Linked DNA regions of Alligator mississippiensis. The protein of the gene in region 2 interacts with the protein of the main gene of each other region in a pairwise test. Links are inferred from orthologs where the notes say so. Each region holds a gene or a part of one and is shown on either strand. Other genes may lie near its edges.

Region 1 (3,749 bases), on a different chromosome or scaffold from region 2:
AAACATACCTCTCTAAGTAGAGCTAATATACCTGTCAACCCATATTAGCCTTTCTAACATGAACTGTTTAAATTATATAACTATTGCAATAATTATTTTACTGAACGTGGAATTTAATAAACATGGAAAGAGAAACGTAGCCATAAATTGTTTAATCTGGAGAGCATGGTCAAGCAATGACCGTGTACCAATGAACATGTAGATGAACTGTGTAACAGATGCATTTGAAATATCACTGTAAAGAACATCTCTTTGGTGGTGAAGGTGTTTTGCACAGAGCTTTTAGAAAGACTATGTGCCTAATATGCTCCAGTGTCTGGTTGTTTTTTTTTTCTCTTAGAATCCATTTAGCACATCTCTTTTGAATTTATGCGGGCTATTTTGAAAGGATTTGCTTGATTCCAAATAGCAGTACTTAAAGGTATTCTTCTATCTCCCTCTAAATTGCACTAAATCTTATGGAATCAGAAAAAAAGGAGAAAACTATCTGTGAAATATATACATTCATTCCGAGCTGTTTTGGGGAGGTTTTACTTGCTTGCCTGTTTTAACACAGGTAACCCAGAAAACAAAAATGCTAACTATCTGAATAAAAATGGTAGGTGGGGTCTGTAATTGAGCTAATGAAATATAAATGGGAAGCCAGGTGCTCCTCTCCTTTTAGAAACTCTTTCTCCTGGTGAATTCAGAGGTTGGTAGGAACAGCTGACACAAATCTTCAGCAGACATAACTGAAATATGTGGATTCTCCCAGTCTCCAAAACCGGTTTGAACCGAACAAAAGAGGGTTTTCTCTGCCTTTGGTGAAGTTCATCCCACCCTCTGGCTGGGGATAAACTAGTCCTGCCAAGATCGACTTCTATTTCTGGCTCATTAAGATACTTCTGAAGAGCAAATATTTTGCCTTTTGGAATGCACCAGATTGTGCTTGAAGCAGATGAACCATCCAAAATCTCTTCTCCCGAATAAAAGGCAGATTCCTCAGTTCATTTCTCTCCCAACTCTTCAAGCCTCTTCCAGCAGCATTCAGAAGCAAATGCTTCGGGCTCGAGGCTGTGTCCTTAGTCAGCTGTAAGGGCTCTGGCATTAGACCACTCTCCTTCCTCCTTCCGCTGCATTTATAATGCTGCATTCCTGCCATTAGAAGCTTTGGGGTGCTGGCCTAGAGGGGCACGTTTGAAAGAGTTTAGGGGGGCGATCACTGCAAGAGACACACAATGGAGAGCAGACCCAGGTCCTCTTCCACAGCACGGTCGCCTTCTGTGTTACACCTCCTGTAGCAGTGAGACAGAAGGGAAGCAGCAGCCGCCCGCACATGCGCAGTGGGGTTGTTTTTCACAAAGCTGGTCTTAAAGTGAGCTGGCAGTCCGCAGCCTCCCTGTCTTTGTACAGAGACCTCAGAGCTGGGTAGTAGCTGAACAGCCACTAGTGCTGTGACTTTTCCAGCAAGCCCAATGAAGCGTTTGTAGAGCAGACACTGGTCCTGCCTGCAAGCTTTTTTGCACGGCAGAGGCTTTGAACAGTGTCAAGTGAAGATCCCATTTTATATGAGATCTTGACTTTGATTTTGGGGGTTTTTTTCTTACAGTATATTTTTATAGACTTTGTTATAAAAAAAAAATGGTGCTGGGGAAGGTGAAGAGTTTGACAATAAGCTTTGACTGTCTCAATGACAGCAACGTCCCCGTCTATTCTAGCGGGGACACAGTCTCAGGAAGGGTCAGTTTAGAAGTTACTGGGGAAATTCGAGTGAAATCTCTTAAAATTCACGCAAGAGGACATGCAAAAGTGCGCTGGACTGAATCTAGAAATGCTGGATCCAACACTGCCTATACACAGAATTACACTGAAGAAGTAGAATATTTCAACCATAAGGACATCTTAATTGGGCACGAGAGAGGTAAGTTGTTTTTTTTTTTTCATTTTAATTCGGGAGTCAAAATCCTACACAGTCATTTTTGATGCAAGCAGGCATGCACATCTTCGCATCCTCTTGGCTTGAACAGTCTTTGGAGGGGGGCTGGTTATTATATCCATTAAAAACCACAACATACAAGGATGTGAAAATGTACTACATCTCTTAGGGGCTGTAGGTTTTGATGATATGGACATTGATGGTGGGTCAGACTTTATCTGCAAAGTGCCTGCAAAACAGGACTTTCTCCAACAACCTGCCTTTAACAGAGCTTCTTGCAGAGGCACTTCCAATTTTATGATTATTTTAAGTGTGTCAGAAAAAAACTGTGCTATAGCTAGACATGAGCAGGGTTGTGTTCCGTATTGCACTGAGAACTGGGGGGCCAAGCCAGGTAGTTAATGCTTTTAAGTGACTTTTTTGTAACTTCTCATCAAATGTTGAGATGCAAGACAGAATCAGGCTTTTAGACGTCTATGGATATAACTCCTATTTTTCAAATCGATTATGCGAGGCCTTTCGAAGGATGGATAATTGTTGGCAGATAAAGGATTCCCTGTGGCTTATTTTGACATACACTCTCAGCACTCCACGTGTGGCTTCTTCTTCTCCCACCTCCCCCAGTAAGTTAATAAATCACCTGAATGTCTTTTATACGCCACATCTGTCAGAGAGGCAGGTATAAAGGTCTGCCTGCAAGCCTCCTTTGAGTCCCTGAAGTGCCCAACTGGAGCATCATGCCTAAGTTGGGGAGTTCAGGGAAGCTGCATTCATTGAAACCTGCTGTGCCAGCCACGTACAGTGCAAAATAGATTCCTATCAAATAATGGGGGGGAAAAAAGGGGGAATCAAGCCTTGGCAAGGGGGCAGCGGGTCTTCAGATGGCTAATCTATTGTTTGAATGGTGACATGGTAGAAGTATAGGGGACTCTTGGCTTGTTTTTCTGAAGTTTCCACCCTTTGTTAGAAGCGGTTCAATCCTGTTTGGGACCAGTCCTGGCGAGAGGGAGGGGGTGCGAGCTCTCCTCTCCGCAGATTGGTTACACGCGTCAGGTGGTGGCGATGACTTAATTCCTAGCACAAGAAAATAATGTTAAAACTGGTTATGTAATTTTCTTTTTTCTTCCCCCCCCCCCTTGTTCCCTTTCACTTATTCTGCATATATATAAATAAGTGCTGCAGAGACCAGTGCGGGAGCTGAGGGGGGGGGTCCCCTTTCCCCCCTTACAAAACCATCTCATTCAAGGGGAACTTAGGGGGTTGCGCTGGCAAAGGCTTTTGGAATAAATGGAAGGATTTTTTTTTTTTATTTTTTTTTTTAATGTTCACAAAATGAGCGGGTTGCGAGGCCTGAGGTAAAATGATGGGGTCCCTCCCCAGGCAGAGTTCGTGCCCTCTCCCCACCCCCTCTGCGGATGCCGGGCGGCAAGGGGCCTGTGTCCCTCCCTCCACAGCCCAGGGGATGACTGCAGGAGGCGACTCGGGGCGCCCCCCGGGACAGGGAGCGAACAAAGGGGCCGGTTGGTGGGTGGGTGGGTGCGCGGGTCGGCGGTGGCGGCCGCACCCCACACAGCCGCTGCGGCCACCGGGCAGCCCGGGTGCCCACTACTCTGCCCCACGCCGGTCACACCAGCTCAGTACCCCAGCCCCGCCCCGCGCCGCCGCCATTGGCCCGGCGCCGTTTGTTAGCCTGTTGCTAAGGCGATGCCCGCCGCTGATTGGCGCGGGGCGCAGTGGGGGCGGGGCAGGTCCCGGTTCCTGGAGTCCAGCGTGCGCCGCTGCGGGTTTGGGGGGGGGTTGGGGATCGAGAACCCCTTTCCCCCGGCAGCGGGGG
Region 2 (3,749 bases):
AGTCACATTGACTACATCAAGCCCAAGCCTGCATTTCTGTGCTTCATGAAACAAGGCTTTCTGAGAGGAAAGTCTGAATGCTGAAAAGAGTATAACCACACCAATAACAGCTGCTTGAGTGTGGAGACAGATTGAAACAAAAGCTGTGAATGGGTTGAAAAGATTCTGCTCTTCACAGTGAGTCTCTGCTTAAAGTAGAAACTCTATGGGTGACAGGAAGAGAGCACAGTGGTCCTGGCTCGCTCACCCACATACAGACATCCTCCAACAGCTGAGGTCAATACTATGAGCCACCTATCTCCTTGTCTCTATATGGGGACAAGCATGTGACCACACCACTCATGATGATGACTACTACTGCTACTCAGGGAGAGAAAGAGCCCCTGACAAGTGCCAGGCTAAGTGATGGATGGAGCCATGATCATGGCAAAGTGATTAGCACCTTGGGTATCAGACAACCTCATTACAACCACAGATTTGCGAATAGCCACTTCTGCAGACAAGGCAAGAATCACAGAACCATAGGGTGGGAAGGGACATCAGGGTCAAGCCTGCCAGCTGTACCACCAATTTTGTAGCAGTACAATGGTGTCACATAGGGATGTAATTTTATATAATTAGATAAGTTCAAGCCCTCACATGGACACAGCCCTATAGTGGTATAAAGATGCCTTCTGTGGGATAACGCGTTGTATGGATACAAGTACCATTACACCCGTTGAGCTTCGACGACACTGGCAGGAGGCAGAGCAGCACCATTTCAGGTCTCCGGGTGTCTAGTTAGAGCAGTACAGCTTCTCCGGCTCCATAAGACCTCTGTGCAGCAGCAGAAGCAGCTGCAGGCTTGGGACACTTTTCATTCAGAAGGCATTTTGCATTTAGCCATTAGGCCACGCATTCTGATTTAAGGGCATGCCCACGTGGCCATGCCTGGGGCTAAATACAGCAGCAGGAACCACAGCGGGCTGCTGAGCCCACGCTTGGGTTTGCCACATGGAGCTCCCTGGGCTAGCACCAGCAGGGGACACCAAAGGCGAGGAGTTTTGCATGATGGCTTGTGCTCCCCTCCTCCCCACCACCTCACTACAAAGCCCCTCCATACACACAGGCAAGGGTCTTTGAGTATCTGTGGTATCTTTTGTTAGACCAACTGACTAGTTGGGGGTGGGGGGAACAAGTGCTTAGCAAGCTTTGGCGCGCAGCCACCCTTCTTCAGGCATTGGGAGTCTGTGAAGCCTTGCCCCAGGCAGAAACCCCCCGTGGCTGCAAAGCGGAGGGGAGGGGAAGGAAAGTCTGAATGCAGCCACCCGGCCTCCCCCCGGACCCAAAACGCCCCGGGCTGACTCAAGAGGGGACAACCCCGAGGTGCAGGGAAGGAATTTCTCCCGGCAGCACCAGGTAGCAGGGCCCGGGCGCCGGCGCAGGCGCAGGGGGAAGGGCCAGTGCCGGGCGCAGGAGCAGGCGGCGCCCCCTGGCGGGCTGAGGGAGCCCCCGCCGCCGCAGCTCGGGCTGCGGTTGTCACATGTCGGAAAGTCCCCGGCCCCGGGCGTGGAAATCCCCGCGCGCGCGGGGGTTTCTGCTCAGTAAAACAGAAAGGAAAAAACAAGCGGCCCGCTCAGTCTCGCCTGCTCCCCGCCACGCAGCGCCAGCGGCAGCAGGGAGGGGGCGGCGGACGACAGCAGCGCGGCGCTCAGGCAACAGCAGCGAGCGGGGAAAGCGGCGGATTGATGGGTCCCGCGCTCCAACGCGCCGCCCGGGCCTGAGGCGGCTGGCCGAGCTCCCCGCCTGCGGCTGCGCCGAGCCGAGCCGAGGTGAGGTGAGGTGAGGTGAGGGCGCCGCTGCTCCGGGCTGGTGCGGGGGGAGGGGGCACGGGGCCGCCTTTGTCCCTGGAACGTTCATTGTGCGCGGGTTCGCGGGTCCGCGGCGCGGCTCGGACACGCACCACGGTGGACGCACGGAGAAAAACACCGGGCAGACGCAGCATGCACGGAACGGACCGGGACACGCGCAGGACGGACACCCTCAGAGGAAACGGGGCAGACACCTGGGATGGGCACAAAGGAAAAATGCGTGGCAGACACAGAATGGACAGGCAGACATACGCAGGACAGACGGAGGATGCACAGAATGGACAGGGACACACGTAGGACAGACGTACACATGAGACAGATGCCCTCAGAATAAAGAGGACGGACATCTAGGATGGACACAAAGGAAAAACGTGTGGCAGACACAGACGCACAGAATGGACAGGGACACACATGACAGAAATACGCAGGGTGGACACAAAGACGCACGGGAGAAACATGGGGCAGATGCATGATGCACAGAATGGACAGGGACACATATAGGACAGGCACAGGACGGACACCTAGGATGGACACAAGGAAAAATGTGTGGCAGACACAGGACACAGATTGGACAGGGACACATGTAGGGCAGTCATACACGTGGGACAGGCACAAGGACAGACACTGGTAGAATAAACAGGATGGACACCAGGACTGGCATGCACAGGACAGATGCCCAGAATGGACAGACAGGAAAAACATGGGACAGACACAGGGTGCACGGAATGGACAGGGCCACACACAGGAGAGAGATACACAGGACAGACTCACATGGGACAGGCACAGGACAGACCCCCCAGGATGGACACGCAGATGCATAGGAAAAATGTAGGAAAGACACAGGATGGACACAGACTGAATAAACAGAATGGACACAGGGACACACACAGGATGGACACAGACTGAATAAACAGGATGGACGCAGGGACACACACAGGGCAGCCATACACAAAACAGGACACACATAAGATGGACAGACAGGACACGCAGAATGGACACAGAGAGAATAAACAGGATGGACACACACAGAATACACAGGACATGCGGAATGGGCACTCGCACCCACACATACACATACTCCACCCAGGCCATCTGTGAGTTATGTAACTCATAACAGCTCATTGAGACACCCATTGCTCTGGGTGGTTTTTTTTTTGGTGTTTTTTTTTTAAGGTGGTTCAGAAGGCTTAGTATCCATCCCCATCCTGACAGGTATAAAAAAGGAGAGGGGCAGGGGTCATTGTACACTGGAGGTGGCTGAAAAGTGGGTGGGCTGTTACAGCATTGGCCACAGTGGGAATCAGTTTTGTGCAGATTCCCTGCTGCTTAAAGTGGGAGGGGTGCAGACACAGAGCAGGCAGAGCTCAGACTAAGATGCCTGTAGTCTGTATTAACATGACACAGAGCCTTACAACAGAGGAGTAAGATGTTCCACTCCAGGCAGCATTCACATCTCCAGAAGTGAGGAGTATCTGGGGTACTAACTACTCCCTTTATCTGCAGTAAGTTGCTCTTTGTTGGATGCAAACCCACTCTCTTGCTACCTAGCGACTAGGGATCATAATATGGCCTGCTGTGGGCCAGCCTGATGCCTGTAGACTGAAATCAGGGGTAAATTATTCTCATGTGTTGTGTGTCCTCAGCCTTGGGGAAGATAGGCTGCCTTTAGCATTTGAGAAAGGTATTTAGCCATGTTAGTCTGATGTCAGGCAGAACGCAGGGTAGATTTGCATCTTCTAGACTAAATCAGATAAGCAGCATAAGTTTTTTGTAAGCTCAAGTTCACTTCATCAGATATTGTGTAAGGACAAACATGTTTGATGATCATTCATTCTTACACAAAAGAATCCAATGTATAGACTGGCATCTGTGCCTCCTCATTAATACAGACCACATCAC

The links.
Region 1: the proteins of TNFAIP3 (region 2) and ARRDC3 interact in binary tests that used the Homo sapiens proteins (3 or more experiments, as listed by UniProt). The two-hybrid records come from large-scale screens. The link is inferred for Alligator mississippiensis from reciprocal best matches to the Homo sapiens genes TNFAIP3 and ARRDC3.

The regions. Positions count from the first base shown.
Region 1 is NC_081826.1:242,393,748-242,397,496, forward strand, and holds the start of ARRDC3 (arrestin domain-containing protein 3), read left to right. Parts: upstream 1-1,356; 5' UTR 1,357-1,620; coding exon 1,621-1,900; intron 1,901-3,749. UniProt on the Homo sapiens protein: Adapter protein that plays a role in regulating cell-surface expression of adrenergic receptors and probably also other G protein-coupled receptors.
Region 2 is NC_081824.1:119,673,804-119,677,552, forward strand, and holds the start of TNFAIP3 (tumor necrosis factor alpha-induced protein 3), read left to right. Parts: upstream 1-1,407; 5' UTR 1,408-1,522; coding exon 1,523-1,816; exon of another isoform or gene 1,817-1,826; intron 1,827-3,749. UniProt on the Homo sapiens protein: Ubiquitin-editing enzyme that contains both ubiquitin ligase and deubiquitinase activities.